Linked DNA regions of Xenopus tropicalis. The protein of the gene in region 1 interacts with the protein of each later gene in a biochemical or structural test. Links are inferred from orthologs where the notes say so. Each region holds a gene or a part of one and is shown in the gene's direction. Other genes may lie near its edges. The genes, in order: dapk3 and pawr.

Region 1 (4,556 bases):
GTTATTGGGTAAGAACCCCTGTACTTGAGTTACAGTTCTAACACTATCCCTAATAGGTTTAGTGCAGGTTGACCACTCCCCTTGCAGACTGATATAGTGTCTAGCAAGGAGGAGTGGCTCAGCCTCTTTTGGCTGCATGCTGTGTCCCAAGCAGAGCTCCATCTGAGTCTGGGAGCAGACTGTAGGCCCCAGAAGCCATTGTACCCTAGAGGACATTATACCTCTAGTGAAAGTCGGGGACAGGGCCCCGTGAACGAGGATAAGCAAGCATAGCAGAATATTTAATAGCACTCTCTAGGAGAAGTGAGCATAGTCAGTTTTAGCTAGAAAGGGCAGACATTAGCCCCACCAAAGGAGACACTAAGGGTTTAGCCTACCCCAGGCTCTGTATGCCTTGCTGTAGGGACCACAGTTAAGACAAAGGATTCAGGCTAGTATTAACCCCTGAACCACCGTTGGCTGTAGGGATCCGTTCCAGTAAAGGGCATCCATCTTGGGACTCCTGGCTACTACCTCTGCATATATCCATTGTGGGCTACACTGTCTCTGTATGTCACAACTGCTGCTAACCACTGTGACATTCTATATCAACTGCTTGTGAGTATGTGATTACCCTGCTTAACACCTGTGGTGTGTAACAATAAAACTGTATTATAGTTCACCATAAGAATCCTCTGGCGTCCATTTATACTATCACACCACACAACCTCAGCATGTTGTAGTTCAACTACACCCTCAGCTCCATAGTACTTCACCCACTTAGCAGAGGCCCATGCCTAAGAATTAAGGGTTGCATGTAACACATGCTCTACATTACGCTACTAGCCTGGGTTTGCCTTATCTAAGTCAAAATAGTGTTACACAAACACTGCTAATTTGTCTGAAGGGGTTGCCAGCCTAAGGGTGAGTTAAGAAATAGTTTCCCGTGTCAGACCATTATAGTTCTTTTTCTTCAGGATCATGTATTTCTGAGGAGGAAAAAATACAAATATAAAGTTCTGATGTTTATGTTTTTGCTTTAAAACCAAAGAAGAAGCATTTTAAAAAAAGATGGGCTAATTTTTTTCTCCTCATCATATATGATGGATTACATCATCCATGAGATGCAAAGAACTATGTCTTTCTAACACAATTTTTTTTAAAACTTATGTTTTTCTGGTCAGTGACAGCACACAGAACTCAATGTGGTGCTCAAAATAAAAGGGTAATTAATTTTCTCTATATGCATATTTTACAAGTCTTGATTAAGCATACATAATCTCTTTAGGTGAAGAGTTTTGTATAAAATGTAACATAGTAGGTGAGGTTGAAGAAAGACTGGTGTCCATCAGGTTTCACCTTTTTTGCCTGTGGAGCCTGCCTAACAGCTATCATAGCTGTTAGGCAGGCTCCACAGGCAAAAAAGGTGAAACCTGATGGATACCAGTCTTTCTTCAACCAACCTCCACATTATGTGATCCGTAAAGCGCTCTACGCTATTCTCTTTTCTCTTTCAACTCGTAAATCCATGAAAGGTCGGCAGCCTCTTCAGTGCCTTTTATAAATCCGATGTACAGGACCATTCATGAACTGTAGACACAACAACCTGGACAAAGTAAACATATGACCACGCCTCTTTACTTCACAGCCAATCAGCTTGCGAACTGGGCAGGGTTGACGTCATTGCACAGGCATTTCGGTAACTGGAAGCCGGAAATAGGGAGGAGTGGGCTTGGGAGAGGTAGTTGAAGCACAGAAATCGATCGGAGAGGAGTCCCGATTTTATTTTTTGACAGAATGAGCGGATTCCGGCAGCAAAATGTCGATGACTTTTATGAAATGGGAGAGGAACTGGGCAGGTGAGCAGGGTCGAATTTCCACAAGTATGCTCTAGCTATAATTTTAGTTAATATTTGATTTTACTCGCGTCACGTTACTTTGATGTACCTCTAGTTTTAGATGTTTGACCAACGCCTTTTCCCCCCTTGGTCTTTAAAGCGTCAGCATTTTGTCTGTGGTAATTTCTTCATTTAAATAATAATTCCCCTGAGCCAGCTACTGTATGAAATTATTCGGTATACACATATATACACTCAGTATTGAGATGACTGGGCTTAAATTCTAATGGCCTGCTTTCTGGGTGTTCTGTACAGAGAACCTCTAAATGGAAATCCTAGTGAGTGTTGGTGTTGTTCATATAGGAACCTAGAGTTATTCTAGGAATTAACTTTGCAGCTCTGATTTGTGCAGAATTAATTGTACACATTTCTGTACTATGTTTGTATGTATGTATAACTTTATTTATAAAGCGCCACAAGGGTACGCAGCGCTGTACAATCTTACAGAATACAAAATTACACACAGGGAGGATGAGTGATATAATAAATAAATACAATAAATACATATATGTATATATATATATATATATATATATATATAAGTGCCATGTGGTATGAGACACAGTAGGAAGGAGGTCCCTGCCCCATAGAGCTTACTATCTGTAGTAAGAAGAATTTGAACTATAGTAAAGGTGACCATGGGAACCAAATTTTGTGTCCAATACCGGAGGGCTGTGGCACAAGCTTTGTCTGCATCAGAAAGACAAAATGATCCTTTCAGTGTTCCTAATGCTTCTGATTGTAAAGTGCTGAAGTGTCTGATGTACGTGGAGCTGTGACAGGTATACCTCTGCACCTAAACACCAATATGAGTGTTTTAATATTGGGGTCTACCTGCACTGCTTTGAGTGCTTCCACTGGGGCATCTGGCATTCAGTATCATTAGGAGCAGTGACAGAACATGGCTGGAGAAAACACCCTGTGGCCACTGCCCTTGGGTTTAAAATCCCTGGGATAGCATATGTATGGAGATGGCTGAAAAGTGTGCAGTATAAAAACAGCAGATTAGTTTCTTCAAGCGGAGAAAAATAAGACCAGAATCCAGCTTCATCATTGTAGAAAAATATTGCAATGTTCTTTTAAAGGACATGTAAACCCCCAAAATAATTTTTTTTGGCTTAAGAAAATAAACCATTATTCCAAGCAACTTTTCAGTGTGAATTAACTTTTTTTACTAGTTTAAAAGTTGTTTGTAAATGTTACTGTTTAAACAATGTTGAAAAGGTCAGTCTCCTCCAGCAAGTCAGGTCTGTAAAATCTGCTGGGTTGTGTTACATTGTTTCAAATGCCAGAGCCACCAGGGCAGAGAAAAGAAAAGGACAGGCAGACACTACTCTTATAGCAATTATATATACAAATAATTCAAAAACCATTGCAAATTTGTAATGAATGCATATTGTAAAGTTGGTTAGAATGATGTTTTCTTTTTATTTGGCAAAAAGTTATATTTTTGGTTGACTTGTCCTTTATGTTGGCCATACATAAAATGTAAAGGTAAAAATTTGTAACTGATTTTACAATCTATATGGTTGTTTGTTTACCTTAATCAAATGTGCAGCATAAATACAATTGATCAGATAACCTTGTCAGCTGTGAACTGTACCTATTGGTACCATCTGTCCAGGCCTATAAGCAGCACTTTGGACCAGATATTGCAGCTATAAAATTTTTTACATAAAATCTTTGCTGTCCTGGACCCCACCAGTCTAAATGTATTGTTCTACATGATGGTGACCCCGGCTAATGTTAGTTCAACCAAACATTACATCAACAGAGTTGATGCCAGTATCTCTCTATTTTTTTTTTTTTCTCCTGTTTACACAGCTATCTTTTTGTGTTTTGCCTGTGTTTGGACCATGTGTCTAACATCCCTTCAATGAAAACATGATTTTTCATGATTAAAACAAGAGTCAAAATGTATATTCAATGAGGTTAGGGACCTCAGATCTTGCTAGCTCCAACACTGTGCGCAGCTTGGGTTTACTAATTGATGGGGAATTAAACTTCAGGAGCCAAATTTCAGCTGGGGTGAAACATTCCTTCTTTCACCTAAGGAATATTGCAAAAATTAAACACCTCATTCCTTCTGAGGTTCTTCCAACCCTAGTTCACGCCTTCATCTCATCACGACTGGACTATTGCAATGCCCTCTATGCAGGCCTTCCAAATAAAGACTACACCGCCTGCAGCTAGTACAGAATGCTGCCGCAAGATTGCTAACCAGCCAACCCCGCCATTGCCACATAACACCAATCCTTCGCTCACTGTACTGGCTACCCATAAAATGGAGAATCCTTTTCAAAATTGGGATGCTAACATTCAAATCCCCACATGGCCTGGGCCCCGGATACCTGAAGGACTTGCTGCAACTACGTCACACCTCCCACAATCTTAGATCAAATGGATCCAATAATCTGACCACCCCCAGAGTTCAACTGAAAACCTTTGGATCCAGAGTTTTCTGTCATGCTGCCCCTACCCTGTGGAACGCCTTGCCAAACGGGATCAAGACAGCTCCAACCTTGGACACATTTAAATCAAAACTGAAAAGCCACCTGTTTAGCCTGGCATTTATGGCCACATAACTTATCTGAGACAAGCTTATGCGCTTTGGGTCCCACGGGAGAAAAGCGCTTTGCAAATGTTTGTTGTTGTTGTTGTTGTTGTTATATTCAGCTT
Region 2 (4,401 bases), on another chromosome or scaffold:
CATTAAACAATAGGATTTTTTACACACTGACTGTATATTGTACATATATATTTCATGAATCTGCTTTCTTGTGGCTGGTGTCACACTTGGGCAGATTTGTGTAAATAGATGAAATAATATCCCCTGCTGTGCTACCAAACCAGGACACTTTATGCTGCATCCGTTGCCAACGGCTATTTGCCAGCCTAGCAATCATTGCCCAATAAAGCAGGCAGTTCATACAGAATCTTTGGCACCTAAATTACTTTAAGGCAGGTGTGCAAGTGCCCCACGGCCTTACTTTCACATAACAGAGAACCCTTTGAGTTTCTAGGGTTTAATGTATCAGATCATGCACCTAAGCAGAATGTAAAATGCTAACAATTGAATGGCAGTCATATGAAGCACCTGGCACTGTAACAGTTAAACATTTTCTCAAAAAATACCTCCTTTTTATTTTTTTCAGTTAATAACAATGGCACAAAGAATGCTGGGCAAGGGACAACCCAGATCAGATTAGGGGGCCCATTCATGAAAGCACGATAATTTTCCCCAGAAAAAAAAACTTATTTTTTCTAATTTATAAAACTTTTCGTAATGACCATGATAATGTTGTTAAAATTATGCAACTTTTTCACAGTTTGCGTTATCTTCCATGAAAAAGTCGTATTTTTCGCAAAGACTACGACCATTTCGGAATTCATTCAAGCTTCAGTATTGTGACTTTCTTTTGGCCAGGTTGGAGCTGCAGAGTGCCATTGAGTCCTATGGAAGGCTTCTAAAATTATACATGAAGTTACAAAACCAGTAAGGTTTACGAAAATGGATACGAAAATTTAGTGACTTTTGGATAGCAACCACCAATTTTCATACGACCAAGAAAAGAATTTTCTTGCAATTTTCGCACATCAGAAATTATCGTGGTTACTCCGAATTTTTTCCAATAGTGCTTTTAACTAGTGAAAATTTGTGGTTTCATGAATGGGCCCCTAGACGTGTACCCTGCTCCTAGAAATGCAATGTACATCTCCAGAGACATGATTCAGGGTAGCCACTGTTACCTGCCCCAGGCCAGTAATGGTTTATTGTCATGCTGGGGCCACAACTCTAGGCAGAGCAGACCCCCTAAAGTCTCACAGACACCTCTATTTCTCTAGGTCAGACCTCTATTTCTGCACGACCCTAGCCAAGCTGCAAGCTCTAACCCATGTCACTCAGGAATCTCACCGGTACCCCAGTCCCTCCCACTGTGGGTTCAGTTGCACAGGTAATTCCTTCCAAGCAACTCACAGCTTCCTGACCTACTGTCTGACCCACTGTCCAATAAGAAGCCGAAACTACAGCTTCCAGCAGCCCCTGACCAATGCGCAACGCACTGCAAAGTATTCCTACAGCAAACAGGAGTCTCCCATGCCTAACGAAGTTTTTGTCAAAAGCCGTCTGCTTAGTTCGAGGGAGTTTCGATAACATTCGTTACGATTTCTAAGCCCGCCTCCCTGTGCCCGCGGGAGATCGGCCATCTACGGAACTGATCGGAATGTCTCGGCTTCTTCCGGGACGAGGGACTGAGCGAACAAACGAGCGAGAGCTGGAGAGGTGAGTAAAGGAGCGAGAGGCGTCGCACCTTGTCCTGGGAATTCCGAACTCGTGTCACATTGGATTCTCCCCCCGCTCAGCGCAGGTAATGGGCTCGCTCATGCCAACTTGCCGGCCCACCTGGGGCAGCTCACTTCGTGGGGGGATTATTATTTCTACCATAAGTTTGCCTTATCTGCTACTTACTGATGCGCTCCCTTTAAGCGCTGTAGTTAACCTGCGGCGCAGCAGCTGTTGTTGGGTTCCAGCTCCCGGTGTTTGTAGCTGCTGCCGTGCGATGCTAGGGATTGTAGTGTTGGAGCAGCGCAGGGAAGTGCATCAGGTGGGAGAGCAGTTTCTGTAGCGCAGAACTATTTTGTAATCAGGCAAAAGTTTACAAAGAAATTGTTGCTTGAAGGGCAAATCATTGACTATAAACTATTGGTTTGATCTGAAACGTTCAAAGGCCTGGAGCTGAGGTACAAAGTGAGTGGTGGGAGCTCTGGGGCACAGAATCGTGCTTACATTGCTAACCAACCCGCTTAGATTGCAAGCTCTGTGGGGCAGGGACCTTCTTGTCTCTTAATATTCTGTCATTGTGTTTTCGTGGTTATATTTTATGATTGTATTGTTCCCAGTGGGTTCTGTTAATGATTTGTTTTAATGTACAGCTATAAGTAGGACTGTATAAATGCCAATACACACATATATACCAATGCAGTGTTTGTCTCCTTTAGTGGATTGATAGGGAATGTGGCTAATGGCTTGCTCAGTGACGTGCTGCTGCTGTGACAGGCTGCTCTGTGCTGGCTAGCTGTTAATAATCTGTCACTAGGGAGCTTTGTTGTCTGACATTTAACAAGCCACTCCAAATTATTTTTTTCTATGGGGCCGTGGTATGCATTGGCACAGGTACCACAGTCTGGCATTGTATTGTTTCATAAACCTACACCCATTTGGCAGCTTATTAGTGGTCATGTGCTGGCCAGTGTGGTCTGTTTTCAGTCTGGCAATTGCTCCTTACCTGACAAGTGTTACACATAGGATACCCAGACCTTTTTAAGGGTGAAGACACACTGGGCTACTAGTAGCCGCTACTTTTTCAAGGCTACTAAACTGCAGAAAACACCCTGCCATAGACAATACTGAGAATTGCCTCTGCTAAAACACACAGAAAATTATCAGTAAATGATCAGCATTGTCTATTTTAGTAGCCACGACAAGTAGCTGCTACTAGTAGCTCAGTGTGTCTTCAACCTAACTGTGTAATATAGGCATAGCCCTGTCCACCCATAGAATAACCACCATTGACAAAATTGTGATTTGAGGCACAAATGTTTGTGATCGTTTATTAGCATGCAAAGTTGTCATGCTGGGAAATAAACACAGAATTATTGGAAAGAATCAAGGACACAACCTGTTGGTAAATAAGCAGCTGTAGTTGCAAATGTGACTGTAGGGTCATGAAAGAATAGCTAGAAGTGCCCATAGATAGGTCCCAGGAGTTGGCAGCTACATTTGAAGCTTTGTGCAATAGTAGCTGTCATGTGAAACAAGCCACAGCATGTACCTGTTGCTGCCTAGCTAGATGTGACTGACAGAGTAGCCAGTGTTAGCTCAGATGAGAGCGACAGAGCAGCCAATTCAGCAGTGGCCAGAATGCTCTCTCCCGCCCTCCCCGCCCGCAAAACAACAATTACCCCTTTTCTGTAGCTTTGTAAAAAAAAAAATGCTATTGTAAAAAATAAATATTCTGAGAATAAGGAAAATGAAGATGCAGATGCTTTTCAGTTTGACGAAACAAGCAGCACAGCATCAGTACCTTTGTATACCAAATAGCTGCAGTTGTAGTCAGGGTTTTGGATAAGGAAGGGCACATGCAACAGGGCAAAAGATCTGATTGTTGTGATGGCAGCAGAAAATTGAATAGAAACGGCATGTGCTTTGTATTACTGGCACAATTCAGATATGCCCCTTAAGCTGGTAACAAGCTGTGCGTTTGATGTCCAGTTCTCATGATTTTTTTTTGGCTGCTGAGTGGAGGTTTGCTTATCTTTAAATTCTGGGACACCAAAACATTGTTAAGGAAAAGGCTGTTCTTTTCCTTGCTTCCTCCCTGTAAATTTGATTTATTTAATCCTTGTTACTTCAGAGACAAGCAATACATTACTTTGTTTCAGCAGTTAAGGCATTTTTTTTTTTTTACAATAGCCTGATATCCAGCTGTTAAAGGCATAGTTTACCTTTTAGTATGATATGTTATGTCCTATTCTTAGCAACCTTTAAATTGGATTTAATTTTTAATAGTTTTTGAGTTCTGTCTTTTTCCAGCTTGCATATGAGTGATATTGACCCTAGGAGTAAAAAAAACTATTGCTCTGGGATGCTTCAATTGCATTGGTACTTTGTATTGCTTATATCTCTCTTCAGCGACTCACCTATTCATCTTCCTTTCTCTCATTCAAACCACTTCCTGGTGGCTAGGGCAAATTTAGGAAGATGAACATCACACTTAAAGGGGTTGTTCACCTTTGGGTTAACTTTTATTATGATATAGAAAGTGAGATTCTCAGACAATTTGCAATTGGTCTTATTTTTTTATTTGTAGTTTTTTAATTATTTCAGGATTTGTTCTGCAATAATAATGAAGACCAGTTGAAATGTTGCTTATAACTGGCCATTCTATAACATACTAAAAGTTAACTTAAAGGTGAACCACCCCTTTAAACCTGTTATTTGTTCTATTATTTAATTATTTTTTTAAATATTACTAAACAATTACATTAATAACTAGGGCTACTTTCTTTTTTTCCAGTATAGCTAATTTCACTCTGCTTCTTTGCAGAG

Evidence for each region.
Region 2: of the proteins of dapk3 (region 1) and pawr, one has a biochemical effect on the other in vitro, tested with the Homo sapiens proteins (2 studies listed by BioGRID). The link is inferred for Xenopus tropicalis from reciprocal best matches to the Homo sapiens genes DAPK3 and PAWR.

What each region holds. Positions count from the first base shown.
Region 1 is NC_030677.2:93,134,387-93,138,942, forward strand, and holds the start of dapk3 (death-associated protein kinase 3), read left to right. Parts: upstream 1-1,732; 5' UTR 1,733-1,776; coding exon 1,777-1,838; intron 1,839-4,556. UniProt on the Homo sapiens protein: Serine/threonine kinase which is involved in the regulation of apoptosis, autophagy, transcription, translation and actin cytoskeleton reorganization. Involved in the regulation of smooth muscle contraction.
Region 2 is NC_030679.2:62,535,086-62,539,486, reverse strand, and holds the start of pawr (PRKC apoptosis WT1 regulator protein), read left to right. Parts: upstream 1-1,285; 5' UTR 1,286-1,575; exon of another isoform or gene 1,576-1,660; intron 1,661-1,747; exon of another isoform or gene 1,748-1,897; intron 1,898-4,401. UniProt on the Homo sapiens protein: Pro-apoptotic protein capable of selectively inducing apoptosis in cancer cells, sensitizing the cells to diverse apoptotic stimuli and causing regression of tumors in animal models.